Linked DNA regions of Pelodiscus sinensis. The protein of the gene in region 1 binds, or shares a complex with, the protein of each later gene. Links are inferred from orthologs where the notes say so. Each region holds a gene or a part of one and is shown in the gene's direction. Other genes may lie near its edges. The genes, in order: SART3, USP15, USP4 and CCNT1.

The links.
Region 2: the proteins of SART3 (region 1) and USP15 are in contact, whole or in part, in a crystal structure (PDB 5JJW), measured with the Homo sapiens proteins. The link is inferred for Pelodiscus sinensis from reciprocal best matches to the Homo sapiens genes SART3 and USP15. Residues at the interface, in NP_055521.1 of Homo sapiens: Ser438, Ser439, Lys440, Glu443, Gln490, Arg493, Glu494, Trp496, Asp497, Met500, Thr501, Ala505, Trp511, Tyr514, Arg533, Cys537; in NP_001239007.1 of Homo sapiens: Ser23, Leu24, Asp48, Trp50, Gly121, Met122, Phe123, Val124, Lys125, His126, Lys128.
Region 3: the proteins of SART3 (region 1) and USP4 are in contact, whole or in part, in a crystal structure (PDB 5CTR), measured with the Homo sapiens proteins. The link is inferred for Pelodiscus sinensis from reciprocal best matches to the Homo sapiens genes SART3 and USP4. Residues at the interface, in NP_055521.1 of Homo sapiens: Asp437, Ser438, Ser439, Lys440, Gln490, Arg493, Glu494, Trp496, Asp497, Met500, Thr501, Ala505, Trp511, Tyr514, Lys529, Arg533, Cys537; in NP_003354.2 of Homo sapiens: Met24, Thr27, Leu28, Ser53, Trp54, Glu123, Gly125, Leu126, Phe127, Val128, Lys129, His130, Cys131, Lys132.
Region 4: SART3 (region 1) and CCNT1 share a complex: the UniProt entries of both Homo sapiens proteins name them as parts of the 7SK snRNP complex. The link is inferred for Pelodiscus sinensis from reciprocal best matches to the Homo sapiens genes SART3 and CCNT1.

The regions. Positions count from the first base shown.
Region 1 is NC_134725.1:36,567,760-36,575,387, reverse strand, and holds the start of SART3 (spliceosome associated factor 3, U4/U6 recycling protein), read left to right. Parts: upstream 1-4,616; 5' UTR 4,617-5,126; coding exon 5,127-5,300; intron 5,301-7,628. Other genes in the region: iron-sulfur cluster assembly enzyme ISCU, read right to left, coding at 684-794, 1,533-1,646, 2,718-2,816. UniProt on the Homo sapiens protein: U6 snRNP-binding protein that functions as a recycling factor of the splicing machinery. Promotes the initial reassembly of U4 and U6 snRNPs following their ejection from the spliceosome during its maturation.
Region 2 is NC_134711.1:59,323,377-59,330,653, forward strand, and holds the start of USP15 (ubiquitin carboxyl-terminal hydrolase 15), read left to right. Parts: upstream 1-4,274; 5' UTR 4,275-4,352; coding exon 4,353-4,441; intron 4,442-5,533; exon of another isoform or gene 5,534-5,624; intron 5,625-7,277. UniProt on the Homo sapiens protein: Hydrolase that removes conjugated ubiquitin from target proteins and regulates various pathways such as the TGF-beta receptor signaling, NF-kappa-B and RNF41/NRDP1-PRKN pathways.
Region 3 is NC_134721.1:46,559,722-46,567,290, forward strand, and holds the start of USP4 (ubiquitin carboxyl-terminal hydrolase 4), read left to right. Parts: upstream 1-4,567; 5' UTR 4,568-4,616; coding exon 4,617-4,723; intron 4,724-7,569.
Region 4 is NC_134729.1:5,163,331-5,171,123, forward strand, and holds the start of CCNT1 (cyclin-T1), read left to right. Parts: upstream 1-4,781; 5' UTR 4,782-4,824; coding exon 4,825-5,006; intron 5,007-5,582; coding exon 5,583-5,664; intron 5,665-6,327; exon of another isoform or gene 6,328-6,330; coding exon 6,331-6,459; intron 6,460-6,844; coding exon 6,845-6,931; intron 6,932-7,262; coding exon 7,263-7,323; intron 7,324-7,793. Other genes in the region: SPMIP11 (sperm microtubule inner protein 11), read right to left, coding at 44-178, 1,456-1,540. UniProt on the Homo sapiens protein: Regulatory subunit of the cyclin-dependent kinase pair (CDK9/cyclin-T1) complex, also called positive transcription elongation factor B (P-TEFb), which facilitates the transition from abortive to productive elongation by phosphorylating the CTD (C-terminal domain) of the large subunit of RNA polymerase II (RNA Pol II).

The DNA.
Region 1 (7,628 bases):
TGGTCATCTTGAGCCACAGATTTGTGAAAGACGTGTTTTGAGGACTAACCTTCAGGATGGGGTTGTGAGAGAAACATACAAAGAATTATTTTGGTATGCTTACTGATAGTGCAAAAGCATTTTAAAAGGGTTGTGTATAAACAAATTGCTCTGACCACCCTATCAACATCTTTCCCATTCTCCTTCCATCCCAAGATACCAGACGTAAGCAAAAAATTTTCATATGAACAGCTTCTGACAAACAAAGGCTAGGGACACCCTTCCTACCTATCCTGGCTAATAAATATTGAGGGATATATCCTCCATGAATTTAACTAGTTCTTTTTTGAACCCTGTTAAAGACTTGGTCTTCACAATATCCTCTGTCAGGAAAATATGCATAAATTATTTCTGGCTATGTAGGCCAAAGCCACTTTGAAAATTAAGCTATCAAAGTAAGGTCTGCTTTTCTAGAAATGGAAATTAAGATTAGTAAACTAGATCACATTTCATTGACAGGGATGAAATATTTTTAACCTGCTTCATTGTAGAAAAAATTCACACTAGGTAAAACGGAAACTTCATACTATGCTTCTCATGGTTCCACATATAGCCTCTAATAATGAATGGTGTAGCATTAATAGCGATTTATGCTGCTAGTTTTTGTGTAATATGCTCTTTCACAGATGTGAAGTCAGTTTTACCGTTTTTCCTTTAATCCATTCTGTGGCCAATGAGCTTGAGGCAATTGCTGATCCACAGCCAAATGTTTTGAATCTTGCATCAACAATTTTTCCATTTTTATCTACTTCAACCTGCAAGAATTCCAATGACATTGATTTGGTATATAATATTTGTGTTATATATTTGGTTACATAACATTCTTGTGGTACTATAACTGAAGAGGACTCAGCTTGATAATGATTTGATTTCAACCTATTCACAGAAATCAAGGCAAAGTATCCTTCACATTGGTATCCATGGTAGCAGAATAGGACCTAAGAGTAAGGCAAGGAATACTGTAAAACATTTACATTTTAGTTCTAGAAACGGAAAGTCATTTTACTAGTGGTTTAAGACAGCAGTTACAAGTAGACTTTAATGGACATCATCCACTTAAGGTCTACTTTTGTTTCAAAAGGTGAGTTAAATGTAGTCTTCAGAGCTGACACCTGCCTCTAAATCCTCCTGATATTCTTGTTGATTTTCACCAGAACATTTTAACAGTGGATAACATGACAATGTATGGGAAACAATCAGATATATAAATGAAATAGAGGCTCTTTTATATTTTTTATTTTACCACCTGTAATACCATTAAATCAGAATTATCCACCAGAAGTTTCATGTGAAGGCAGTTCTCATTTAAGACTAATATGTTCATATTCTGTAACTTTTCATTTTGTAAAGTTACTTGCATGTCCTCTCTTTTTTTCTGGCAAACAGCTTATATGATTGTCAACATAACCAGCGTGGTCAGTTCATAATATTCAATATACTAGAGATCTCTCAGTGAACACAGAAATAATCATGTTTGTTATTTGATAACTCACCTGTAATTTCATCACATCTCCACAGGCAGGGGCACCCACTAATCCAGTGCCAACGTTCTTTGCACTCTTATCAAGGGAGCCCACGTTTCTAGGATTTTCGTAGTGATCCACTACCTAAAAGGGAATTTTATTGGCAAGGATTATGGTATCTACAGTCCCTGTCTAGGAAAGCGCTCACAACGTCTGTGCAGTTTAAAACATACTGCAAGAAAGCCCAGTGCATGGCACGGCTGAGAACCTCCCCAACGCTGCCCCAGCTTCAAGGGCATGGGAGTCCATAAGCCCCCTAGTCCCACAATAGCCAGACCTCCTTCTCCTTTCCCAGTCCCAAGTTTCCCACACAACTCCCAGGATCCCATCCTCTTCTTCACCCCTGCCAAGTTCTTTCCTCCCAATCCCTCTCTGCTCTACCTCCCCTCCATGCTGATCTCACAACCAACAACCTCCTGCCCCAATGCTGCCCCCACCCCTCCCCCCTCTCTACTCCCCCCCGCCCCCAATGCTGCCCCCACCCCTCCCCCTCTCTACTCCCCCCCGCCCCCAATGCTGCCCCACCCCTCCCCCCTGTCTACTCCCCCCGCCCCCAATGCTGCCCCCACCCCTCCCCCCTCTCTACTCCCCCCCGCCCCCAATGCTGCCCCCACCCCTCCCCCCTCTCTACTCCCCCCCGCCCCCAATGCTGCCCCCACCCCTCCCCCCTCTCTACTCCCCCCCGCCCCCAATGCTGCCCCCACCCCTCCCCCTCTCTACTCCCCCCCGCCCCCAATGCTGCCCCCACCCCTCCCCCTCTCTACTCCCCCCTGCCCCAATGCTGCCCCCACCCCTCCCCCCCTCTACTCCCCCGCCCCCAATGCTGCCCCCACCCCTCCCCCCTCTACTCCCCCGCCCCCAATGCTGCCCCCACCCCTCCCCCCTCTCTACTCCCCCGCCCCCAATGCTGCCCCCACCCCTCCCCCCTCTCTACTCCCCCGCCCCCAATGCTGCCCCCACCCCTCTCTACTCCCCTCCCCCCTCTCTACTCCCCCCCGCCCCCATCCCTCTCTACTCCCCTCCCCCCTCTCTACTCCCCCCCGCCCCCATCGCTGCTGTCAGCCTCTTGCCCCCTCACGCCCCGCCCCTAAGGACTCACATCTCGCCTACAAGGCCCCCCCCGCCCCCAGTGCTGCTCCCGGCCCCCTCACTGACCTTCTTGTGATACCCCGCGGCGGGGCCTGCCAACCCCCCGGGCCCGGGTCTCAGCAGCGCAGCGGCAGCCCAGCCCCCCGTCAGCCTCAGCGCCGCCATCTTCTCTCGGCAGCGGGCAGCGCGAGATGTCCCGCCCTGTCCCCGCGCACTGTTAGGAGCGCGTCGCGTCACGCCCCCCACGTGACCCGCACGTGTCCTGGCCCCGCCCCCTCGCGAGGGGCAAAGGGCAGTGACTTGCGGGGCTCAAAGAGCAGCAGCTAGAAGGCGCGTGTCCGGCCCCTCCCCCCTGTGGTATCCAACCCGGCCGGTCACGTGTCTGCTGGTGCCGGCGGGGGCCGCGCAGCGCCGCGTGCAGCAGGGCGCGCCCCCAGGACATGTTTACGGCGCTTTGCATCCTTTTGCTCTGCGCTTGGGAAATGGACCCTCCACGCCTGCTCGGCATCGCTGCCCCGGGAGAGCTGCCCAGGCCTGAGCGAGCCAATAGCCGGGTCTGGATGAACCCGAGTATTGCCCGGCAGAAACCAACCCAGGCTTAACCAACAGCTGTTCTGTGCCTGGGCCCGGTGCACATTGTGCACACACCCACTTGCCTAGGGGAGCAACAAGCCATCCAAGCGGGGAAGACCCAGCCCACTGAGATATGTGTTTATGCCTTCCAGGCTTATTGCAATCAGTGGAACTCCTTGCTAGAGCAAATTGTGAAGATCAGGGTTCAAAAAAGGACTCTTGTACATTTCAAAAGCAGAAGTGCCAGGAGTGGGAACTGGTATGCTTCTGTTTCCATCCCACAGTGGAGACATGGTGGTGGGAACCTAATTGGTTCTTCCCAGCACAGGCTCCTGCTCCCTTCCACCTAATAGTTGACTAGTTGCTTAGGCTAGTCACTTACATCTCTAAAGCCAACTGTGTTTTGCACCATGTTCAGAACCATTTACAGGACTCACCTAACAGCTGGCTGACAGATGATCCACTCTCGGGCTGTGTCTAGACTGGCCAGTTTTTCTGGAAAATCAGTTGCTTTTCTGGAAAAACTTGCCTGCTGTCTACACTGGCCGCTTGAATTTCCGCAAAAGCACTGATTTCCTACTGTAAGAAATCAGCGTTTTTTGCGGAAATACTATGCTGCTCCCATTCGGGCAAAAGTCCCTTTTGTGCAAAACTTTTGCACAAAAGGGCCAGTGTAGACAGCTGAGATTTGTTTTGCGCAAAAAAGCCCTGATCGCGAAAATGATGATTGGGGCTTTTTTGCAGAAAAGTGTGTCTAGATTGGCCACGGACGCTTTTCCGCAAAAAGTGCTTTTGCGGAAAAGTGTCCGTGCCAATCTAGACGCTCTGTGCCGAAAATGCTTTTAACGGAAAACTTTTCTGTTAAAAACATTTCCGGAAAATCATGCCAGTCTAGACGTAGCCAGGCAGTTTATCCAAAGCCTGAATTTGTCCTATACAGTGTTGTAGTTTGACAATTAGCTAGTCAGGATTCCAGACCAGAGAGCTAATAATAGTCTTGCTCTGTTGTGATCAGTACTTGGTTTCTCATTTGGCTTCTGAGGGAATGAGTTCTAATGGGGGGGGGGGGGGGGGGAGAGAAGAGGTGCAAGTTTTTTTATTCATATTCCCATTTGCATATTTCCAGACCTTGCTGCCTTAGGATGCTTTACAGTTTTATCAAATATTTAGACAGCATCCTGAACACTGAGGTTGGACAGGTCAGAGGGAGTTTTGCAAATATCTGTTTTAATTTCTTGTGCAAGGTCACCAGAAAGAGGTAAGAGGGATGGAGGGGTGGACTTTGCAAATACATTTCACCATATTTAATTCCCATGCCATATCCCATTCTCTAGTGATGCAGCTACGGGAACTTTATAAAGACGAGAATATTTAATTTCTTATGCACTAGCCCCTGCACCATCCATGATACACGTACATCGTGTACTGAATGTCCAGTTATTACAATGGCTCTCATCCTGCTATGGTTGTGGGAGGATGAGCGGGGACGCAGCAACAAGACCCGAGCCATTTTGCTATGGACAGAGGTGCTCAAAGCCCAAGCAAGCCTTTGAGCCTGCGTACAGAAGAGTTGCCACACACAATATGGCGGCCAAGCCTGGGTCCTTCCCCTACCGACAAGCCCTGGCCAGGGGGACCTCCTTCAGGGCCCCGACATGCCCAGGAGGACCTCAGCAGCCCACGCAGGTGCCTGTAAGAATCCATCACGAGAAGGCCGTGACTCCCTAATCGGAAACAGCCGTTGCTGCAGAGCTGAGTACAGCGAGCTCCACCCGGGCCTTCAATCTTCTTGTCGGGGGTGCGTTCAGCATCTGCGCGGGGACGGGCGAGTCAGGCGCGCCAGCGGCAGCCCCGCGGCTTGGCCGAGGTCGGCAGGCAGTGCGCAGCGCGTAGCTGCACAAGATGGCGGAGGCGGCGGCAGCCGGGCCCGAAGAGACGGCGGCAGTAGCGGCGGCGGCGGAGGAAGAGCGGCGGCCGGAGGAGCAGGGCGGGGACGAGAGCGACTCGGGCTCGTCGGCGGATGGCGAGGACGAGGAGAAGGAGAACGAAGCCGAGATCCAGCGGCTGGAGGAGCAGGTGGGGATCGCGGCCCGGTGCTCGTGGGCACGCGGGGGGAGGGGGCGGGGCGCGAGCCGGGTGCGCCCGCGAAGCCCGTTGCCTCGCGCGTGGAGCCGCCCTCAGCCCTGCCTCGGCCGGCGGGGTCACCCTCGGTTCGGTCCCCGCAGCGCGCGGGGAGGGGGAGGCGGCTCCGCGGCTGCGGCTCGGGGTGTGCAGGAGGGAAGCGCCGCCCTGGGGGCTCTGCGAGTAGCGCCCAGGCCAGAGCATCGGGCCCTCATCCTTGGGGGGTGTGAGCATCCAGACTGGGGGCTAGTCACTGCTCAGCAGGAGCCCCCACGCTTTCTGTAGGGTGCACAGAAGAACAGAATCCTTCTCTGCCCTTGCTTATCGCTGCTTGCCTTCATCTGTTAGGAGCTATAGGCCAGGGATTGTCTGTGTGTGCACAGGAAGCAGAGTTGCATTTTGTGGGGGCTAGGGCCGTACACATCATTAATATTGATAGAGCAAAGGAATCAATAGGTGATGGAGTCTGTATCGTGGCCCCCCCATTAAATGTTGGAGCACAATTAACATGTGAAGAAAGGGAGAGATTTTTGGAACTAGTGGATTAAAGAGAATAAGGAACATGTGATAGTATAGATGGGTGAACTTTTAGGTGTGGGGAATTCACACCCATTCATTCTGTAGTGTTAATCCAGGATTGTATAATTCTGCTGTCTGTTGTAAAATATCAAGAAATCCTTTCTGTTTGTTTATAGTCTCAAATTCTTTGAACACACAGTGGAACAAGGGATGTTAAAAATCGTGTAATAGGGTAACTGTGAAACTGCTAAAAATCTTAGTGGCTACATGTGCTACTGGTTCAGCAGTACTGTAGAGCCTTCAGTGAAGCTGCCTACCTCGCTTGGGAGGAGGAAGAGAGCTGCTTGTCCTCCCTGGGAAGGAAACTTCTCTTCCCTACTGCAGTGAAACCACCTCCCCCTGGAATTGGTTGAGTGTAATCTGTACCATTAACTGATAAGCATCAGCTGATTGGTTAAACAGTTAATCAGTTAAACCCTAATATTGCTAACAAATTCAAAGTTTCATAATCATGTGTAATGTATGTACATTATACTATTCATAAACTATGTGTGGTTTCTGTTCGAGAATTGAAATATGTACCTTTTTTAGCTGTCTTGGTACACAACCCTTTCAGTTGGAGACACTTTCAGAATTTCTACAGAAATGTGCTCTTCGCTTTTAATTTCAGCATGGTAATTATGAAAATGTTATATCTTTATGAAATAGTTCTGTTGTGTAATTCTTTGGTGTTTTAATTGCTATGGCAAACTGGAATAGTGCTAACTTCAGAGGGTTTTCTCTATGCACTGATTACTGAAATAATTGATGGTTGCAACCAGGAATAGAACTTCTTGAGGACTAATATAATTGGAAAGCATGCGTGTCTGTTGTTGAAATGAACTGCAAGGTGGACCATGCAGTAACAAATGTTTTTCTGAGCTTGACGTACATTGAGAATAGGGAGGCAGAACCTTAATTAGAAAAGAACTTCGATCTTTTCACATCTCAGAAACTACTATTTTATCTTGAGAACTGCTTATGTTTGCTATTTCCAGTTATTAGATGGGAAGCTAACATTTTTTGGATATTTATATTAGTTTACTGGAGCAAATTCTCCGTTTTTGTACAGTGTTATTGAAAAGTGGGATCTACTGCAATTTGGATACAAACCATCAGTTTTACCACTAAAATGATGATTAGACAAATGTGCACAACTGCTTAGTGAGATTTAGGCACCTGCTTATTATGCTTATCACCTGAGGATCCACATTATTAAACAGTGGCTTCTAGCTCCAAGGGCTCAGTTCAGTCACCTGCCAAAATAGAATCTTTCATTTTGTACCCTCAGTGGGCTTTGAAAACAATGAAACATTGCACAACCTTTATGCAGACTGGTGAAAGGCGTGTATTATTTTCACTTCACATTGAGCAGTCTGGGGGTAGGTCTACACTAGCACTTTGACTGGTGTATTTTATGTTGCTCGGGGTGTGAACAAACCACTCCCTGAGCAATGTAAATTACGCCAACATAAGAACCATTGTGAACTGCTCTATGTTGTTAAGAGATCTTCTCCAGCTGCCACTTGTTGGGGTGGATTAATTGGAGAGCTCTCTCCAGTCCACTGAGAGCAGCTCCACTAGAGAGCTTACAGTTGCACTGCTGTAAGCTCTATAGTGTAGCCATTACCTGAGACACTGAAGGAATTGATGGCACAGTCCAAAATAGAACTCTGAAGTTCTACCCTAGTAACCAATTGCTGGATATACTCTCTTACATTTCTT
Region 2 (7,277 bases), on another chromosome or scaffold:
TAAAAAAAAATATATAATTAAGATACCCTTGGCTCTGGAAGGGTTTTTTCCCCTCTTTTTTAAAATTCAAAATAGTTAATTCAAGCACGTACATAGCCTGAAGTGTAACATTTAAAGTTGGGGGGCCATGCTGGTAGGAAGGTTCAGGTCCAGTCTCTGGGGGATATGAGGCCTTTAGGAATTGTTGATTGAAGAGGAAGCCCACCTTGAACTCAGTCTGAAATGGTTCCTATCCCATAGGACTGATTCAGCTTCCTCCCCTAGCCAATCCCCTCTTCTTCCCCCATTCTGCTGCCATTGGCTTTCACTACAATGTACAGGTGAAGGTCTCCCCTGTGATAAACTGGCCATGGTGCCACTGGATCACCTGTCCCAAGCTGGACTGTGGCAGGTCAAAAAGTAGCTGGGCCATAGCCCTCTGAGTCTGGCACCTATGCAACTACTGAGAGAAGAGCTTTACAATAGGGACATAATATCCTGGTTAATCAGTTTAGCATTGAAATGTTCTGATTAATTGCTTAACAGATTAAATGGGGCCTGCGCTGGAGCTCCCCTCCTGGCCACGGGCTGGGGGACTGCTCCAGCCAGGCCAAGCCCACCGTGGCCAAGGGCTGCTCTGGTGAGGCTGGGCTAATTGTGGACAGAGGCTGCTCTGGCTGGGCTGGAGCGCCCCTGCCTGCACTGTGGAAGGTGCCTCATAGCTGTAACAGTCACCTACCCATTGCAGGCGGGGAACTGCTCCAGCCCACTGATTAACGGTAACCAGTAAGCATGAACCAGTAAGGGTGATGCTTATCAAATATGGTTAACCATTCATGGGCCTGTTCTCTCCCCCCGAGTGCTCCTCTGGCCGCTGGGGGCATTTTCTGTTCCCCTTCCTTCCCCTGCCTGCCCAGGGCATTTTCTATTCCTCCAGCACCCCCATCCTGGTCCCCAGAGGTGTTTTCTTCCCCCCCCCCCCCCCAGCAGTACCACATAGCTGAGAACAGCCTCTTTCTCTCCTCCGGTGCTGTGGCCAAAGGCAGGGAGGAGGGCAAAGGGTTTGGGGCAGGGGGACTAGTTACCTGGCGTGTTTGCAGGCAAGATAGTGGAGCCTCAGTGCTGCTCGCCACTCCCTTGGTGATATGGCTTCCCCCGTAGGATAGCTCTCTCCTGCGGGCTTGCTGCCTCTAGTGGCCACTTTCAGTATTGCATCCCTTCAAACAGGACCTCCCCTTGCATGTTATAGGAAACAGTCCTGTTCCTGGGCCTTCCGGTTGTCCTGGCACAACCAACCCCCGACCTTGCTTTAAGTTAGGAGAAAAGGAAGCTGAATGCCAAATATGGTAACCCTACCTCTAACTGTTTAGGACAGTGTTTCTTAAATTATGTTCCGTGGCACACCGGTGTGTTGCAAGGCAGTCGGAGTAGTGCCGTGGAGAATAACAGAGTTCAAAATGGCTGCCCTTAAAGGGGTGGGTGACTTTTTTTTTTGCTCAATAACTTTTCCCCCAACCTTTTTTTCCCCTCAATAACTTCCCCCTGACCTTTTTTTTCCTCAAAAAATCCTTGATGTTCCTCATAAAAATAATTATTGTTTGGTGTTAAAAAGTTTAAGAAACAGAAAGACTTGCAGATAGACACACAAAGATGCACTCTAAATTATATATAGAGAAGATTACTTCATATTCATAAAGCATTTGAAGATACAGAATACTGCGTAAGGGCTAAGTATTTATGGAAATATTTTTTAAACATTGTATTACATGTATTAAATAAAATAACCCCAATAACTCTTGAAGAATAGACTTGTTAAAAAAACAACCTCTTTCTCGCATGTAGGAGCTAAATATTAAACAGTTTCATTTTCAGTTATCCTAATTCTTCAGCTGAGACAGAGTTCCAGATCTATTCATTGCAGATCAAATACCCCATCTGACTGTACAACCATGCAATAGGCAGGAAGGTGGAGATTGCTTCCCTTAGTGTTATTACAACAGTCAACTTGATCCCATTACAAGACAAAAATTAACTTTTGTGCAGCCTTGTTACAATCATTAGTTCTCATGCTTCTCAGCTTAGGCTGAATAGGTCATTTATATTAGTTCTAGAATAGCCACCAGCAACAAGCTATGTACTAGGGATGATAAAAAACATTTATTTTTGTAAATATGTAATTGCTGAATTTTTTAGTGGTTACACATTTACATGCAGGGGGTCAGGCACCAGCTGGTGCTCACAGAAAGCAAGTTCCTCATGGGCATGGGCTTCTCCTCACCTTGCTGCGAGGTGAGGGGTTTGTGTAACTGTTAGGATTAACTGGTGAGCTCAGACTTATTGGTTAATTGTGTAAATGAGTACACACTAACATTCCTATTATGTACAAAGACAATATTTCTGTTTATTGAAACAGTTGCTCTTGCCCTTTCTCCCATTTATTCCTCTAAATAGATCATTAAAAAAAAATCTAATCACCAAAACATACCCTAGCTATTTGGAGGGCCACAGCAGCAGCCAAGGACAGTTCAGATATCTTTCTTGTTAGGATTATGATATCATCATCATCATCATCAATAACCATGGGCTCTATACTTGTTGGTGTCCAATGCCTCCCTATTTCCTTCCATCTTTCCCTCTCTAGTGCGGAGTGGCTTAGTTTCTGTAGACTAGCTCCGCACCAATCTACTATATCATCTACCCATTCTCTGTGGGGTCTGCGATATGCTGACCAAAAATGTGTATTTCCTTTCTGTATATTCATTGCTGTTTATTCTTTGAATTTTTTGCAGTTCTCTCCTCAGCAAACAACCTATTCTTGTATACTCAATTATCCACAGTATCCCGGTTTGAACAAGTCTTTAGTAGAATCTACACTACTGAATACATACAGCCAGTCCCCGAGTTGCAACGGTCGAGTTACGGTCGCTTTGTAACTCAAAGGGGTCCGAGTTATGAACAGATCGAGTTACGGCCAAGTGTTTGGCCCGTAACTTGTTCATTACTCTGGGAGAGGCTGTAATTAAAAGTAAGCATATAATACAATAGTAAAGACCATATGCCTAGTGTATACAATATTGAAATACATCTTTATGTAATTCCAGATGCTGCATGTAAATTAACTATTGATTTAAAGACAGACATATGCATATATACATATATACCAGGGCTATTCAACATGTGGCCCGTTTGTTTGCGGCCCGCTGTTGCAGTTTGGGTTAACATGGGGCTCATTTTTTGAGGAGTACAGGATCTTTCAAAAAAGGGTTTTTTTTCCCCTGAAAGAACCACATCTAGACATCGATTTTACTTTCAAAAAGCCCTTTTTCGAAAGACTACCGCCATTATACAAATGAAGCACGGGAAATTCAAATCCAGGCTTCATTTGCAATTTGTATCTGTCTAATTTTCATCCCTCTTTTGAAAGAGTGATGTAGCTTAGACATAGCCTGAAAGTCCCAGGTTATGTGGGGGAGAGGTCTTTTATTGGACCCACGATGTCAGTGAGAGAGACACTTGCCAGGCCTGGAAAAGGCGCCTGCCTTTGTTGGCCAGAGATTTTGAGACTGCCCCAGGAAACGTGTCTATCTCTCCATGCCAACAGACTAGCATGCAGTAAGAGACACCGCCTCACCCCACTGGGCTCTGGGGCTTTGCTGCCAGGATAGCGGGGTACTTTACGCTGGCAGGTGGCGCTCCCCGTCCTGCCCCAGACTGGCAGCTCTTTTTTCTCCACCCGAGGGGGTCTTCTGCGAGACCTCTCAGAGCTGCCGGAGTTCTACCAGGAACTCCTCCAGACTTGGAAGCTGTTCTCGGCAACCAGGTCCATTGTGACCATTGTAGGGAATAATTCTGGACACTCTGGATGCAGGTGAAAAAAAGTCAGAGGATTTATTACACACTCAGCGCTGGCGGAGTGACAACCAGGGGTTAACCTGGTGAACACTGGTTAAGCAAAACATTACAGTAGATTATATAGGCGGCAGATGGACAGAGGAGAAGCAATTTGATAGGGTCTGGAGGCAAGACGAAATGAGCACGTAAGCCAATAAACTACAAAGGTTACATAGCATCTCCGCGACGCAGGGCCAGGCGCACGCGGCTTGGAAGAGTCCAGACCTGTGATAGCGGCGCGTCCCCGCTCCCTCTCGCCTGCTCCTCCCCCCGTCACACCCCGCCACAGGCGGAGCGGAGCCCGCCAGCCCGCCAGAGGGCAGCAGCGGCTCCCCGCGCCCGCAGGTCACGCGCGGTCTCCCCTCTTGTCTCCGCCTCCCTGTTGCGGTGGCGAGGGCGTCTCCCAGTTGGCGTCACTCCCAGCATGCAGCGCGGCCCGCTCCTGCCCCTGCTGCCGCCGCCACCGCCGCCGGGGGGAGAAGATGGCGGAGGGAGGCGCGGCGGATCTGGAGACCCAGCGCTCGGACGTCGCGGCGCTGCTTAAAACCGCCCTGCGCAAGGGCGACACCTGGTGAGGGAGGGGCGGGGGGCGGCGTTGGGCCCTGGGGCGAGCGGGTTCCCACCCTGGGGCCGCTGCGCTGTGGGAGGTGGAGAGGGGCCGATAGGCTCCCTGCTGGTAACGGGGCGGGCCGGGCCCTGCACCCACCCACCCTCCCCGGGGGGTGGCGCCCGCGGCTTCAGGGGACAGCGGGGCTCGGGAGCGGCTGAGGCCGAGCTGCAGGTGAAGGTGGGGGCGGGGCCGCGTTGGCCAGCGGCGCTGACTCTTCCTGTGTCCATGAAGTCTGCCTCGGCATGGTCCGAGCTGCCAGGGCCCTGCGGCTGCCCGGAGCAGGTAGCTCCCGCCGCTCTGGCCCGAGCCCAGCTGGGCATGCGGGGGAGTTCCGTGTGGCCAGGACAATGAAGGGCCTGGGATTGCCGGGCGTTTGGCCGGCGCCGGGAAGGGGGCGATGAGCAGAGCTCGGTCCCTCCCTTCCCCCCGGCAGGTACCTGTTCCATTATTCAAACATAAACCAGGGAAATGGCCCCACCTGCCCTTTCGGGTAGCGACAGGTTTCATATTTGCCAAGCGGAGCATCCCAAAAAACCTTTCCCCCAGTCATGCTAGGCCTCGGGTCAAGCTTATCACTCCATAGCGTGAAGCCTCTGAAGGTGCTAGCAGACAGTGCTGTTTAATTGTAACTTTAATCTGTTCTTGTGTTCAGATGTCTTGTATCTTTAGGTTTCAGTTTTTTAATTGACAGGAGATCATACAAACTGCCTCATGCTTATGAAGCATGAAACAGATCTAGTAATTCCTTTTATTTGCTTGGTGTTCAGTTACAGGGAATTCTCAGATTCCTGGTTCCTAGAAACCGTCTCCTGAGTAAGATAACTTGAAAAATTCTTAGTACTTCCAGGAGGACTAATATCTTCCCTCCCATTCACACTCCTACCCACGCCCTGAAGTGTCACAAATTTAGATTTACTTAAAAGTAAGTGTGATCCTTAGAAATAGACCACCTACATCATTTTGACTTAATATGTCACCACTTGCTGTTCTAATTCTGTAAGATATGGTATTTAATGGTGGTGCTGCTAGAACATGTGTCAGAGCCATACATACATTCTGATGCATTATTCAAATGCTGATGAGTAGATATTCGTTTCTTGGCATAAGAACAAGTTGGTTTTAAACTCTGCAAAAGTAGAAGCATCTAGAAAAAAGGGAGCCAAGTATAATTAACATATTAATACTGAAAATAAGAAATAAGTTTGGGTCAGACCAAAGGTCTGTCCAGCCCAGTACCTTGTCTGCCAACAGTGGCTAATGCCAGGTGTCCTAGAGGGAGTGAATCGAACAGGTAATGATCAAGCGATCTCTCTCCTGCCATCCATCTCCACCCTCTGACAAATAGAGGCTAGAGACACCATTCCTTACCCATACGGCTAATAGCCATTTATGGACTTAACCTCCATGAATTTATCTAGTTCTCTTTAAACCCTGTTATAGTCCTAGCCTTCACAGCCTCCTCAGGCAAGGAGTTCCACAGATTGACTATGCGGTGTGTGAAGTAGAACTTCCTTTTATTTGTTTTAAACCTGCTGCCCATTAGTTTCATTTGGTGGCCCCTAGTTCATATATTATGGGAACAAGAGATGATTAATAGTGTTCTGTTTTGAAAGGGATTATCACTGTGACCAGTGTTTCTTGTTTAAGTGCAAGGAATTACACTCAAACCAGTAGTTTCTTCCATTTTGAATACTGTTAACAGTGGCCATTGTCTTGCTGCAGAATAGGAGGATAAAACAGTAAGTTTAACAAAAGTCGACTTTTGAACATGTTCAAAAAATTCTGTTGACTTAGATAAGTGTAAAGGGGCAGCCACTGTTGTTGTTTTTGCAGATACAGACTAAGTCCTGTGGCAACTTAAAAACTAACAGATTTATTTGTGCATAAGCTTTTGTGAGTAAAAACCACTTTGTCAGATGCATGGAATGGAAATGTATTTGATAGATATTAGTATAACGGTGTGGTCAAAATGGTTGTACAGGTTGAATCTAGTGCAGCGCTCTTGGGACCTGACCAGTGCTGAGCCAGAGAATTTGTGGAACCATGGGAAGTCAATATTTTCTAGCAGCAATACCAACACTCCCACTGCTTACTGGGCTCTTAGAAAACATTTAGGGGTAAATTAGAGCTAAATAACAGCACAGAAAATTGAGAGCCGGGACCAGTGGAGATAAACGTACTGCAGGAAATTTGGCCATACCCATGATATGTGGACATCTGGCTAACTAAAATCACTCTGGACCAGAGAGGTTCAACTATATTTTCTTCTGTATATAATATCAGACACTAGGTCTGAAATTTAGTATGATTGTAAAACTTCTGCAAAAAAACTGCTTATTTTAAGAGGCAGAGCAAGTATAAAAATGGATATGAACCTCTTACTGACATCAAGTGTTCAAATAGTAATATAGTAAGTTGGTAGGTTTTACGAAACAAGGTTACCTTTATAGTATTTCATAATAAGACTGGGTAGTAGCTTCTTTAGCATTGTTATAAGCAAGAAAGTAGGTCTGAAGCAAGCAGCATATCACAATTCAGAACTTTGGTAGTCATTCATACAAAAGAAAGTTATGCTGACAAAAAATGCATGCCAACTTCTATTCTAACTTACTTTGCTCAGGGTTAATGACTGGTTTACTCTGGCTAGCATATCTATATGTGCTGATAGTACTACGTGGCTACGTCTACACTGGCCCCTTTTCCGAAAGGGGCATGCTAATTTTACAGGTCGTTATAGGGAAATCCGCGGGGGATTTAAATATCCCCCGCGGCATTTAAATAAAAATGTCTGCCGCTT
Region 3 (7,569 bases), on another chromosome or scaffold:
GATGATATCGAAAAACTCCTCCAGCAAGACCCCTAGAACGCTCTCAACCAAGCCAAAGTTCTGCAGAAACTTTTCTCTCTCGGCTCTGTCATCCTCCTCAGGCTTGTTATCTCTGCCTCCTGTTGCCTCAGTCTGCTGGCCTTCAGGTCTCTCACCTGGCCTGCCTGCTCTTTCTGTGACCTCTTTGCCCTGTATGTACAATGCTATTGTCCATGGAAGTTTTACTCATGATGGTGCTTCTTCCAAACCCTTCCGGAGGAGCACTTGATGTTGTCTGTAAAAGTTGCATGTGAATTTTTAGCAAACTGCTGCAGGGGAAGCAGCCCTGAGTCTGGGCAGCTTGTTTTGAGCCTTTGTGTTACCAATACAATTCCTGAAGACCATCTGCCTGTCCTTTTGTGACATCACTGCCTCGTTAGCGGGGGAGGGGGGCAGATTAGTGTCTCATGGCTTCTGTATGGAGAAGGGGTGGCCACGTTGCACTGTCGTGGTTGTAAAGATTTTAACCATCCTGTCTGGTCTGACCCAATTTATAGCACTGGCCAATCGGGGTGATGGGAACTGACCGGTTCTGTCCTATTGCAGTGGTCAGGGCAGTGGTTGGGGGTGTGTGTGATAGGACAGCACCTGGTGGAAATGTGTGGGATCGAGTGCCAGGGGTTCAAGGCAGGGAGCTGGAGCGTGAGTGGGGGGCACTCATTGCAGGGGGTGGGAGCTGTGCAGTGCTTGGGGGTGGGTGGGTGGGTGCAGGAGTCAAGCGAGAGCTGTGGGGGTTCAGGGCAGAGAGTTGTGGGGTGGGGGCTTCAGGGATTGGGATTGGGGGGACCCAGGGCTGGGTGTGCATTTCCTGTACTGCAGGACAATGGGTCCCCGGGGCTGCCCAACTGCTTGGGTGCCAGGCTGGCTGGGACAGAGGAACTAGGGATGTGAAGGACTAGTCACTTCCCACCCCCTTGCTGCATCTCTCCGAGGCAGCAAAGGGGGGAAAAAGAGGGGGTGCTTCACAGTGGCAGCACCGCACGGGCTCTGGGACCAGACCCCGGGCTCCACACGGTGCTGCCACTTTGAAACACTGCGTGAAGCCCGGGGCCAGCTGGAGACTGCCTCACTAGCCCCTGCTCCCCGCAGCGCTTTCTCATTTGACGCGTAGCAGCAGCCCAGGGACTGTTGCCTCTCTTCACAGGCGGAGGCGCCTATCGGCTAATCGAATATATGATGCAAACTGCACCGACTATTCGATTAGCCCATTCATCTAAATTGTACATCCAGAGCCCTGCCCCCAGCCAGCCCGTCTCAGTGTGTCACTCCGGGGCATGCCAGCTTGCTTCCAACTTTGCTGGCACCCATTCTGTGCTGGGCCTGTACCCCCTCTGGCCCAGCCAGGACCCCCATCCTGGGCTCCTCGGGAAGATGTGTCTCGGCTGCCTGGCCTGGGGGTTCCAGATGGATCAGCACTCTGCCTGGACTGTGACCTCCCCAGCAACACCTGGCTGTAAGGCAGCCTGCTGTCCACTCCTCAGTGACAGGAACCCCTGTAAGTGCCCCCCCTCCCCAGCTGCTTCTGTCGGGCCATTACTGCGAAGGTAACAGCGTTACCAGGAACACCCCCCCCCCTCCCCCACTGCCTGCCAGCAAACCTGCCTCTGACCAGGGAAGTCGTTCAAACACCACCTGCAGGTTTTCCTCGTGCTCCGGACAAGAACCAGCTAACTCCTTCCTGAGCGGGTCTCCAAAGTGCTCTGTACAAGGTAAGCAGCAGACTGGGGTCCTGTCCCCGCCCAACCCCTGGAGGGTGTAACTTCAAAAGCTGAGCCCCGCGTGGGAGTTTGCAATCTGCCCCCGAAGTCCAATTCACTCGAATTGTCTCCACGATGAGTTATGTCTGTGTCGGCGTGTGAGCGATACTCCAGTACTTGTCGGAGGTGGCATGAATCCTGTCTTCCAGGTGTTTCCAGGTCACCCCACAGTAACGCTTCCATTGGTAGTACAATGAACTGCCAAAATGCTGCAACTTTGAATTCAGCATGGCTTGTGCTGGGTGTTACAAGTATTTGTCATAGCAGCTTGTTCTGACCTGCTCAGGAGGCAGAGAATGCCGCACAAACCTTTGCTTCAAATGGGGAGTGAGGCTCAACAGTGGCTCACACATGTTCTGGTCTGTGACGGGGCTCGTGGGACCACAGCTCGTGGGAGACGTGGCCTGGAGGAAGTGACAGATACGTCCCCTCTGCTCTCACTTGGGGCTTGTGCACATGGAGAATGGCAGTGGGAGATAAGGGGTGAACAGATAGCTGCACGGGTGTAACTGTTGTGTGCACTCACCAGACTGGCCGGGGGGCTGGCGTGTCGCTTGAGTGGAGTGTTACTCTCCCATACTGCCGGACGTGCCCGTGGAGGGGCTGTGCGAGTTTACCACAACATTCCAGAAGAGTTAAAACAGGTTGAGCTGCTCTGCCAAGCCACATACAAGCTGCACCCTGCCAGGGGCCCAGAAGAAGGGACAGTAACAAGGTACCCAGCAGCAGTGTGTTGGGACTGGTACCGGGAGCGGCGAAATTATGTTCATGGCTTTTTCTGAGGGGTGGGGGAGGGCTTGCCTGTCAATACAATTGAGCAGGCCAATTCCTGGTGGAGAGAAGCCACCTGCGCCCTACAGGGAGGGAAGGAGGCCATGCTTAGTCCCAGTATTTGGCTGTGATTTCTAACCCTTGTGCACAGAGACGCTGCAACAAGCCTATGACAAAGCCCGGGGCAACAGGCTCTTCAGTACAGGTGAGCTGAGGTGGGTCAAACACAAACCAGCACCCGTTGGCTTGGGGAGAGGAGGAAGGTGTACTCAGAACAAGGTTGAGGAATGTTTTTTGGCCAAGGGCCAGTGACACACAGAAAAGTCAACTTGGGGCCACACACAAGAATAAAAAAACCTGTCTCTCACTCTCACTTAATTCAGTGTGCTTTGTGGGCACCAGCCCAGTGTGGGCACCCGAGGCTGGGGGCTGCCTGCCTGCTGTGGGTTGGATCAGATTAAGCTGGGGGGCTAGATCCAGCTCCCACCCAACTTTGAAACCACTTCAGCTGCTACATTTCTAAATGGTTCTGCATTCTCCAGAGCATGTCTCTGCCTCTCCTGTACTCATGCAAGCCAGTTCCTAAGGGGCAGTGGATCTGACTGTCAGTTCCAGTTTCGCATTGGGCTGAAGAAATGACTGTTGCAGTGTTTGCCACAATGTTGCTCAACTGTCACTCCTTCTGGTGTAAAACAGGATGTCTGTCTCTTGCACAGACTGCGCAAGGCTTCTGTGCTAGTATGTGGTGCTATAGTTGCCTAACTCTGATAAGTGTCTTCCTCTTTCACGTAAGTCTCCACCTCTTACTGTAACATAAGTGATGCTAAGGGTATTTTTGGGCTATCAGGAGCAGGCAGCCTAGACCGATTTCAAATGTAGCTTGCACAATGAGCGGGAATGTGCATTCAGTGGTGTAAAACAATTATGTCCTGGCTTGTGCAGCATTTAGCACCAAGCAGCTGCTGTATTTAGCATTCACAATGAAGCAGAAGGCAACATAAGGCTATGATTGGTGCAGATTTCAAAACTGTTTAGCAAGGGCGTTTTTGAAGTATGGTGGAATCTGGACTGTCTGGTTCTGGTCAAGAAATACTCGCTCCCCGCACCCTGGGGTGTGCAACGCATTTCATGGGTGCTCTTTTAGGAACGTGACTTGAAGTGGAACAGACCCGAGTCAGTTTAGTCCAGATTCTCTTACACCAGCCACACTGCAGAGACCCCCCCCCGCAGGATGTTTATGGCACAAGCAGCCCGCCAGGGAAATGCAGGACGGGAGAGTTCCGAGTGATCCCGGCAACCCCCGGCCAGACAGCCTGGGCCCTGGGGAGCGGGGCGAGGACGCGGGTGGGCAAGGCCTGGCCCGCGGGCCGCAACCCGTCTGGCCCGCGGGCCGCATTCAGCTACCGGCCCCGAGCGGCGGGGTCGCGCCCCTGCCGCAAAGGCAGCACTCGCCGGACGTAACGTCACGGCGGGGCGAGGGCAACGATGGGGGAGGGGCAGGACGAATGGGGTTTGCGGGAAGGATCCGGCGCCCTGGGGACGGGCCCGGAAACGATCTGGGACCACCGGGGGGGGGGGGGGGGCTGCCTCTCTCCACCCACATGGCACAGGCTGAGGCGGGTAACGCGGCTGCGCAGAGAGGCGCCGCCCTCGGGCGGGTAACGCGGCTGCGCGGTGAGGCGCCGCCCTCGGGCGGGTAACGCGGCTGCGCGGTGAGGCGGAGGCACAGACTTTGCGCCTCCTAGCGGCGCAGCCTCTAACTAGGAGCCAAACGGCTTCTTACCGTTGATATGTAAATTAGCCTCTCTGCTTCTGGAAGGGGAACTTGCCCCCCGCCCCGCCCCGCCCCGCCCCGCCCCTTCCCTTTCGCGCCCTTCAGCCCCGGCGGCGCCACAGGGAGCCGGCCGAATGCCCAGGCCGGGCAGCGCCACAGCGCACGTTAATGCGCATGCTCAGGGCTAGAAGAGCCGCCCGGGCGGAGGGCACTGCGCATGCGCCCGGCAGGCCGGATATCCGCCGCGGGGGGTGGGCGGTGCTGCGCGCACGAATATGGCGACGGAGTTGGAGAGCGGCGGGGGCTCGATGCCGGATGTCGGGGCCCAGCGGGCAGAGCTGGGGCCGCTGCTGGGCATGGCGCTGCGGCCGGGCGAGTCTTGGTGAGGGGGGCTGGAGAGGGGAAGCCTGGGGCCGGGGAGCGGAGCTGGGGGGGGGGAGGTTGGAGAGCGAGCCTGGGGCCGGGGAGCGGAGCTGGGGGGGGGGAGGTTGGAGAGCGAGCCTGGGGCCGGGGAGCGGAGCTGGGGGGGGGGAGGTTGGAGAGCGAGCCTGGGGCCGGGGAGCGGAGCTGGGGGGGGGGGAGGTTGGAGAGCGAGCCTGGGGCCGGGGAGCGGAGCTGGGGGGTGGGGGGAGGTTGGGGAGCGAGCCTGGGGCCGGGGAGCGGAGCTGGGGGGGGGGGAGGTTGGAGAGCGAGCCTGGGGCCGGGGAGCGGAGCTGGGGGGGGGGAGGTTGGGGAGCGAGCCTGGGGCCGGGGAGCGGAGCTGGGGGGGGGGGAGGTTGGGGAGCGAGCCTGGGGCCGGGGAGCGGAGCTGGGGGGGGGGGAGGTTGGAGAGCGAGCCTGGGGCCCGGGAGCGGAGCTGGGGGGGGGGGAGGTTGGAGAGCGAGCCTGGGGCCGGGGAGCGGAGCTGGGGGGGGGGGAGGTTGGGGAGCGAGCCTGGGGCCGGGGAGCGGAGCTGGGGGGGGGGGAGGTTGGGGAGCGAGCCTGGGGCCGGGGAGCGGAGCTGGGGGGGGGGGAGGTTGGAGAGCGAGCCTGGGGCCGGGGAGCGGAGCTGGGGGGTGGGGGGAGGTTGGGGAGCGAGCCTGGGGCCGGGGAGCGGAGCTGGGGGGGCGGGGGGAGGTTGGGGAGCGAGCCTGGGGCCGGGGAGCGGAGCTGGGGGGGCGGGGGGAGGTTGGGGAGCGAGCCTGGGGCCCGGGAGCGGAACTGGGGGGGGGGAGGTTGGGGAGCGAGCCTGGGGCCGGGGAGCGGAGCTGGGGGGGGGGGGAGGTTGGGGAGCGAGCCTGGGGCCGGGGAGCGGAGCTGGGGGGGGGGGAGGTTGGGGAGCGAGCCTGGGGCCGGGGAGCGGAGCTGGGGGGGGGGGAGGTTGGGGAGCGAGCCTGGGGCCGGGGAGCGGAGCTGGGGGGGGGGGAGGTTGGAGAGCGAGCCTGGGGCCCGGGAGCGGAACTGGGGGGGGGGAGGTTGGAGAGCGAGCCTGGGGCCCGGGAGCGGAACTGGGGGGGGGGAGGTTGGAGAGCGAGCCTGGGGCCGGGGAGCGGAGCTGGGGAGGGGGGAGGTTGGAGAGCGAGCCTGGGGCCGGGGAGCGGAGCTGGGGAGGGGGGAGGTTGGAGAGCGAGCCTGGGGCCGGGGAGCGGAGCTGGGGGGGGGGAGGTTGGAGAGCGAGCCTGGGGCCCGGGAGCGGAACTGGGGGGGGGGAGGTTGGAGAGCGAGCCTGGGGCCCGGGAGCGGAGCTGGGGGGAGGTTGGAGAGCGAGCCTGGGGCCGGGGAGCGGAGCTGGGGGGGGGAGGTTGGAGAGCGAGCCTGGGGCCGGGGAGCGGAGCTGGGGGGGGGGAGGTTGGGGAGCGAGCCTGGGGCCGGGGAGCGGAGCTGGGGGGGGGGGAGGTTGGAGAGCGAGCCTGGGGCCGGGGAGCGGAGCTGGGGGGGGGGGAGGTTGGAGAGCGAGCCTGGGGCCGGGGAGCGGAGCTGGGGGGGGGGGAGGTTGGAGAGCGAGCCTGGGGCCGGGGAGCGGAGCGGGGGGGGGAGGTTGGGGAGCGAGCCTGGGGCCGGGGAGCGGAGCTGGGGGGGGGAGGTTGGGGAGCGAGCCTGGGGCCCGGGAGCGGAGCTGGGGGGGGGGAGGTTGGGGAGCGAGCCTGGGGCCGGGGAGCGGAGCTGGGGGGGGGAGGTTGGGGAGCGAGCCTGGGGCCGGGGAGCGGAGCTGGGGGGGGGGAGGTTGGAGAGCGAGCCTGGGGCCGGGGAGCGGAGCTGGGGGGGGGGAGGTTGGAGAGCGAGCCTGGGGCCGGGGAGCGGAGCTGGGGGGGGGGGAGGTTGGGGAGCGAGCCTGGGGCCGGGGAGCGGAGCTGGGGGGGGGGGAGGTTGGGGAGCGAGCCTGGGGCCGGGGAGCGGAGCTGGGGGGGGGGGGAGGTTGGGGAGCGAGCCTGGGGCCGGGGAGCGGAGCTGGGGGGGGGGAGGTTGGGGAGCGAGCCTGGGGCCGGGGAGCGGAGCTGGGGGGGGGAGGGTGGAGAGCGAGCCTGGGGCCCGGGAGCGGAACTGGGGGGGGGGAGGTTGGAGAGCGAGCCTGGGGCCGGGGAGCGGAGCTGGGGGGGGGGAGGTTGGGGAGCGAGCCTGGGGCCCGGGAGCGGAGGTGGGGGGAGGTTGGAGAGCGAGCCTGGGGCCCGGGAGCGGAACTGGGGGGGGGGGGGAGGTTGGAGAGCGAGCCTGGGGCCGGGGAGCGGAGCTGGGGGGGGGGAGGTTGGGGAGCGAGCCTGGGGCCCGGGAGCGGAGGTGGGGGGAGGTTGGAGAGCGAGCCTGGGGCCCGGGAGCGGAGCTGGGGGGTGGGGGGAGGTTGGAGAGCGAGCCTGGGGCCGGGGAGCGGAGCTGGGGGGGCGGGGGGAGGTTGGAGAGCGAGCCTGGGGCCCGGGAGCGGAGGTGGGGGGAGGTTGGAGAGCGAGCCTGGGGCCCGGGAGCGGAGCTGGGGGGCGGGGGGAGGTTGGAGAGCGAGCCTGGGGCCGGGGAGCGGAGCTGGGGGGGCGGGGGGAGGTTGGAGAGCGAGCCTGGGGCCGGGGAGCGGAGCTGGGGGGGGGGAGGTTGGAGAGCGAGCCTGGGGCTGGGGAGCGGAGCTGGGCCAGGCTGAGTGGCACTGCTGGTGCTTTCAGGCCTCTGGCATGTGGCTCTGTGTCCTGCTGTAAGAGTGGAGCCAGTGGCTGAGTAAGGCGGGTCTCAGCTCCTGGCTGACACCCTGTACTCCTGGCCTGGGCT
Region 4 (7,793 bases), on another chromosome or scaffold:
ACTCCGTGTTCCCCCTCTCGTGAGAATTACACTGTTCACTCACTTCTCTGGAGCCAACGGTGCGTCACAGCCTCTCGATAGCGGTCGTGGCTGCCCTGGTGCACCGTGCCATCCAAGCGCCCAGGGCCGATGGGGGGGAGCGATGGGTGAAATAATCCCCCTCTGAGTGGCTTCGGCCCTGAGGAGAAGGACAAGAAGGAAACTTAAAATGAAGCCCAGGAGACGGCCCCAGCAGGGCGGCTGGGGGCCTGGCATGGTAAGAACATAAGAACAGCCGGACTGGGTCAGACCAAAGGTCCGTCTAGCCCAGTATCCTGTCTGCCGACAGTGGCCAGCACCAGGTGCCCCAGAGAGGGTGGGCCGAAGACAATGATCAAGTGATTTGTCTCCTGCCATCTCTCTCCAGCCTCTGACAAACAGAGGCCAAGGACACCATTTTATCCCCTGGCTAATAGCCTTTTATGGACCTAACCTCCATGAAATTATCTAGCTTCTCTTTAAACTCTATTATAGTCCTAGCCTTCACAGCCTCCTCTGGCAAGGAGTTCCACAGGTTGACTACACGCTGTGTGAAGAAGAACTTTCTTTTATTAGTTTTAAACCTGCTACCCATTAATTTCATTTGGTGTCCTCTAGTTCTTCTATTTAGGGAACTAATAAATAACTTTTCTTTATTGGCCCTCTCCACACCACTCATGATTTTATATACCTTTATCATATCCCCCCTCAGTCTCCTCTTTTCTAAACTGAAAAATCCCAGTCTCTTTAAACTCTCCTCATATGGGACCCGTTCCAAACACCTAATCATTTTAGTTGCCCTTTTCTGAACCCTTTCCAAGGCCATGGTGAGTTTTGAGGTAGAAACCCGGTCCTCCGAGAACTTGTTTCACACCTGGGCTGCTGACCGGTGCTCGTCAGTGGCTGAAATTCAGTCTCTGCTGCCCAGAGGGGGTTTGAACCTGACCCTTCTGCAGGCTCAAGTAGCCAGCTACAAACAGTGACTCCTGCAGAGAGACCTGTCCAATCCTCATCTGGCAGGATGGTACTTGGAACATGAGGCCAGAGGTAACTTAAGGAGGCTGGAAGAGACCCTCTGACCTCCACCCATGAGCCTCGGATGCAGAGAGACTGGGAGGTAGCGGGACTGCTGGAATGCTACAGTGATTTGGGTTAGTGGGGCTCCGCTCCAGGTTTAAACCACTACCACCCTGGGGCGACTGGCGAAGGGCTTTTATTAACTGACACATGCCTGTCCCCTTCCACTCCACTGGGCTGTCCCACCAGGAGACTGGGGGAGGGTCAGAGTTTTTTAACATCACCCAAGGAAAAGCCTTGTAATTGTTGCCCTACGAAGAGCCCCAGTCTGCTCTCCAGGGTGCTTGGCCCACCAACCAGCGACAAGTCGGGTCTGTTTCTAATGCACCCATCACCATAGCATCTGGGCTCTCTTCTTACCTGCTGCATCAGGTGTTTTTAACGCCAGCTTTTTCTCCCGAAAGGGCTCCTGGTACCCCAGGTAGGTTAATCCAAAGAAAGCCATTTCCTACGCCGCCTGCGTCCGCCCGGGTCAGTCGAGGAAGGCGCTTTCTGGCTCCCTCCAGCCCCTGGTGCTTTGCCGTGAAGCAACTGTTGATTCCGTTGCCATAGAGATGCCCCAGCAGCCTGGTTGGTGACTCTCCTCCCACCCAGTTGGAATGTGGGTTTGTGAGGCTGTAATGGGAGGTGGTCACGACGACAGCTTGTCTTCTGGCTTGGGTTTGTGTTGTATTAAATCTGGGGTACCTGAGACCAAACTTCAGCAAAAGGAGGAGGGTTGGCCCCTCAAAAACCCTCTCCACTCCAGCTCAGGGAGCTCTGCTCACCTGCTGTTCGTATAACGGGAAAATCCTGGCACCTCAATCACATCAGCACTCCAGGCACCTACCCACACATTGCTTTTAATCCAGTGCAGATAGGTAGGGACTAGGAGTCATTCCAATCGGTCTGCTCTCTGGGGGCTCCAAGTAAAATAAGGAAAAGTTATTTACTTGTTCCTATAACACAAGAACCAAATGAAATTACTAGTAGCAGGTTTAAAATAGAAGGAAGTATTTCTTCACACAATGCACAGCCCACCTGTGGAACTCCTTGCCGGAGGATGTTGTGAAGACCAGGACTTTAACAGGGTTCAAAAGAGAACTAGATACATTGATGGAGGACAGGTCCATCAATGTTATTAGCCAGTATGGGCAGGGATGGCGTCCCTAGACTCTGTTTGTCAGAAACTGGGAATGAGTGACAGAGGATGGTCGCTTCATGATTCCCTGTTCTGTTCATTCCCTGTGGGGCACTTGGCATTGGTCACTGTTGGAAGACAGGATACTGGGCTGGATGGACCTTTGTTCTGACCCAGTCTGGCTGATCTCACGTTCAAGTAAATAAACTGGTGTCCGTTCAGTTCTTTGAAAATGCTGTCTCATGAGATTCTCAAGGACCTTGTAGCAGACGGAGTTCTCTAGGCTGTGTGGATGTCAGCAGGGTCACTTTGTCCTTCATCCCGCACAGGACAGATTATCTCTACGGGGTGGGTCAGTCAGCAACACTGAAGATCTTTAGCAATAAGAGTCTGGAGTCCTTGGTCACAAATTAATTCCCTCCCTGGAGCTGCCAGCCTGCTCCAGGGGAGTCTATTTTGATGTTGTGGGGGTGCTGGGTGGGTGTAGGCCAAAGTGTCTGGCATCCTGCTATCTGAGGAATTGCTCAGGCACTTGCAGATGTTTGGTGTCTAGAAAGGACTCCAGCAGACAGATTACCTCATTTCTATATGCATACAGTACACAGTACAGTGGGGGCCCTGCCCCCCTCCTCGAGTTTTGGGGGCACAACCAGCATGCAAACATTTAGTAGGAAGAATTCAACTTTCCCAGCGGTCTTCCTTGTCCTCTGTTATTTTGTGTTGGCCATCTGTTGTAAACCAACCCGGATAACATAGGAATGCCCTGGCTGAGCAGGGAAACATCCTCTTTCCAACAGGGGCCAGTTCTGGAGGCAGAAGGGCAAGAAACTCTGAAGTGAGCAGTTGTAGAAAAACCTTCCCCTAAGAAGAAAGTGCTCTACTTCCCCATCACCGAGTGGAGGTTTCATCCCCATCATTGGGGCATTTCTGTCCCTTGTAAAATGCAAATTTTACTCTTGTGGCTCTCATTGGCCCTATAAATGGGTGCTCCTTTTAGCTCAATCTCCTAAGCTTTTGCCCCCAGTTATATACTGTAGCAGTGAGCTACGCTATTTGTGCTTTGTAGAATGCAATGTCTCATCAGACTTAAATGCCCTTGGTTGTCACCTTTCCCCTGCAATAAGAGCCGGCGCCATGCCCAAGTTCCTTCTCCAATGTTTACTTTAAAAATCTCAGTCACATATGTCTCTTCTTTTTTCACTTTCTTTCACTTCACTTTCTTCACTAAGTCCCAGTCCTTTTAATCTGTGAATCATCCTCATTGCATCTCTCTGAATCTCTCACTCACGTCCCAGCCGAGGGACCCCAGGAGTAGGGTGCTACATTCTTTTCAGCCCCGTTCCTTAGGACCCTTTTTTTCCTGTTTGCTTCTTTGAGCACTGCCATGCACTGAGGAGGGGCAGCTCTGCCCTGAGGGCAGAACCAGCCACTTATACATGAGCAGGGGGTGGAGACTGGGCTCTGGGCTGGTGGGAGGCTGGGCTAAAAATGGTTGTGTTGGCATGGGGTGGTCTGGAGTCACAGGTGCAGGGGGCTGAGGGCTCAGGTGCAGTCGGGGGGGGTCACGGGGTGGGGGTCAGGGGGTTGGGGTGTCAGCTGGGGTCATGGGGGGTGGGATGCCAGGTGGGGTCATGGGGGGTGGGGTCACGGGGTTGGGGTGTCAGCTGGGGTCATGGGGGGTGGGATGCCAGGTGGGGTCATGGGGGGTGGGGGTCACGGGGTTGGGGTGTCAGCTGGGGTCATGGGGGGTGGGATGTCAGGTGGGGTCATGGGGGGTGGGATGCCAGGTGGGGTCATGGGGGGTGGGGGGTCACGGCGTTGGGGTGTCAGGTGGGGTCATGGGGGGTGGGATGCCAGGTGGGGTCATGGGGGGTGGGGGGTCACGGCGTTGGGGTGTCAGCTGGGGTCATGGGGGGTGGGATGTCAGGTGGGGTCATGGGGGGTGGGGGTCACGGCATTGGGGTGTCAGCTGGGGTCATGGGGGGGTGGGATGCCAGGTGGGGTCATGGGGGTGGGGGTCACGGGGTTGGGGTGTCAGCTGGGGTCATGGGGGGTGGGATGCCAGGTGGGGTCATGGGGGTGGGGGTCATGGGGGGTGGGATGCCAGGTGGGGTCATGGGGGTGGGGGTCACGGGGTTGGGGTGTCAGCTGGGGTCATGGGGGGTGGGATGCCAGGTGGGGTCATGGGGGGTGGGGTCACTGAGGGCTGGGGGGGGTCATGGAAGTGGGATGAAGGGCAGGGTCACGGGGGGGGGGCTGGGTCAGGTTGGCTAGAAGGGTCAGAGGTCAAGACAACACCACTCCCCACCCAGCGACCCGCCTCCCCAGGGTCCTGCTTCTGCGCATGCCCACTTCTGTTCCCTAGGCGCCCCCCCCAGGTCTCACGCATGCGCAGTGCAGTCCCACTCAGCGGCCTAGCCGCAACCTGCGCACAAGCTGGACTCGGCTCGTACTCCTGAACGCGGGACGCGCCGGCCGCATGCGCAATGCGGCCCCTGCTTGCCCCGCCGCCCGCTCGCGCCGCGGGGCGCATGCGCGCGCAAGACGTCGTGCGTGCGCGCGCGCGCGCCCGGTGGGGGGGGGGGCGTGCGCGCGCCCCGCGGATCGCCATGGAGGCCTCAGTGAGCGGAGGGGCCGGCGGCGGCGGCGGCGCGGGGAAGCGCTGGTACTTCAGCCGCGAGCAGCTGGAGCGCAGCCCCTCCCGGCGCGCCGGGCTCGACCCGGACAAGGAGCTCTCGTACCGGCAGCAGGCGGCCAACCTGCTGCAGGACATGGGCCAGCGCCTCAACGTGTATCCGCGCCGGGTAGGCCGCGCAGCCTGGGGCTCGAGTAGCGGGCCCGGGGCAGCGGAAACGCGCCCCCTCCCGCCGCCCGCCGGGCGAGCCCCTCCCCCAGCCGGGCCGCCCGCGGCTCAGTGACCCCTCCCCTCCCCACCGCGCCTCCCGCGGGACGCCTGGCATCGGCGGGGGGGCCGGCGAGTGCGCTGCGCGCGCGGGCCGCTCTCCCGGGGGGGGGGGGGTGCTGCCGCCGCCCGCTGCACTTGCGTTCCCGGGGCGGTGGAACCGTAGCAGGGACCGCCCGGCTCCCCCCCTCGCTGCACGTGCCCCTGGCTTCACCTGCGCGTCCCTTCAGTAGCCCCCGTAGAGAACAAAAACCTCCGCGGATGGAAACCAGCCCCCACCTCTGCGGGGGGGGGGCTCTGTAAAGAAAGCGTCTCCGGGGCCACATGCAGATCCCCGTTGCGCTGCACGTTGCCCACCGCTGCCTGCCACCAGCGCCTTGCCCGCCAAAGTGCTCCGCTCCCCAGAAAGAGGGGGGCGGACGTGCAGAATTTCAAGACTGATTTTTCTTAACTCCACGCCGTCAGCTCTCAGCTGACCATCAATACAGCTATCGTGTATGTGCACCGGTTCTACATGGTTCAGTCCTTCACCCAGTTTCACCGCAACGTAAGTATTGGTTGGGCAGTTGCCTTTTGTCTGAAAACCGGGGACAGCCTCCTGTGACAGCTGTTCGTTATCAACATTTCCCTGCCCCTAAATTGGCACAACGGGGGGAGTGAAGAGATCTGGGTTCTCTTTGCTGTGTGACCTAAAGAGCATCTTTTCTTTGTACTTCCATTTACGTATCTCTAAAATAGAAGTAATACTGGACTACCTCCTGGGAGGGGAGATTGTGAGCTTGGACTGATTAGGTACTTTGATATCTTTGGGCAAAAGATGTAATGTAATGGCCAGTAATTATGACTTTGTCACAGCTGGCATTCTTTGGATCCTTAAAAGATTTTTCTTGTTCTATGAATGTTTCTTTAGTTAGTTTTAGAAGTTGACTTCCTGCACTTTTACTGACTTTAAAACAAAACACAGTGTTTTCCTACTACAGGCATTTAAAAGGGAATACTTTTCTTGTAGCTCCTAAAATCCATATTTACACCATAGATTTGACGCCTGGAGGAAATCAGTAAATACAACTGTTTCATAGCTCTAAGGTTGCTCAGAGAGGTTCATAGCAGCAGAGCCTGTCTGGACACTGACACTACAGGCGTGTGAATATTTGAAGCAGGAGACAATTTTTATGTTTTTTTCCCTCCCCTCCCCTCCCCCCGCCCAATGAAGTCTGTGGCACCAGCAGCTCTGTTCTTGGCAGCCAAGGTGGAGGAACAGCCTCGTAAGCTGGAGCATGTAATCAAGGTAGCACACGCATGCCTGCATCCTCTGGACACCCCTCCAGACACTAGGAGCGAGGTAAGTGGTCAGACTCCAGCAGAATGATTTCCATGCTTGAGAGAGAGGAATGAGAACATACTCACAGAGTACTGCATCCTGACATGTAGAATCCTGGTAATAGAAATAACTTGTGGGAAAGCGTCTCATCAGGCTTCTAAAGAGTAGATGACTTGTCTCATCTGCTCTATGGTCTCTCATGTTTCCCTCTATTACATGGATGTCAACAAAAGAATCCGATGTGCCATGTAGTCGTGTCTGCATTAGAGGCTTCTGGGCAGGGAGTGAACATGTCTGTCAGGGTTAAATAGCACTTGTAACAAAGCAGAAAATAGTGTGTATGGTTCATTCCTGTCTAATGATGAGATTGTTAAAAATATTTCCATTTCCCCATCTCTCATGACAGCCCTTCATAACTGGAACTGAGTGTCCAACCCTGCTGAAAGGGAGAAGCTTTATCCAGGAGCCAAAGCTTGTAGAAAATGATGAAAAGGTTAAATTTTAACCTACGCTTCTCACATTGACATGTCCCTTCATGTGTAAAACTCTTATGGAGAGACAAAGACTAAAGCACGTAGTTCCAGCCACAGCAACCCATGTGAAATGAACACTAGCAAAGGAGTGTACCCATCCAGCACTTGGCTTTCTCTCTTTTGGGGGGGGAATCTGTGCCAGTTCCCTCTAGTACTGAGTGGGATAAAGATTCCCCCTTGATTTTTTTTTATTAATTTATTTTTGTGGCCTCCCTGAGAGAGAGTTAGAAATGTGCAGGCTTTATACAGAGTGGCTCATCGTGAGTAACCTGCCTGTCCTCTCAACCCCAGGCTTACCTGCAGCAAGCCCAAGACCTGGTCATTCTAGAGAGCATTATACTGCAGACCCTGGGTAAGTTTCTCAAAGCGGACGGGCTTCCACTCGAATCCCAGACCCAGGAGCGCTCTGCAGAGCGGAAAGTCTAACTCCACAGTCTTCTTCACAGCTGGAGGGCAGATGCACAGCTGGCCAATGGGAGAGCAAGAGTTCAGGCAACAAACTATTTTTTCACACCACTAGTTCATGCTTTGGTTCGAATACATGTGTTTTCAGGTTTCACTTTAATTTGAGTTGTTAGCTTAAAAATATGCAGTTTGGCTTGTTTCTATCCCCAACAGGTTTTGTTCTGCTTGGATGTCAGTAACTCTGGTTACAAGTGTTATAGACTGTAACATCGTGGTACTCTAATCACCTGGTTGGAATGGGTGACGCTCTGCTCTGGTGTAGTGAAAGGAGTCTAGAATCAATGTCCATGTTTTGATCAGGTTGCCTGCTGCTTTGATGGGCTATTTTAGCATTTGTTTTTGGGGTATTTTTTAATT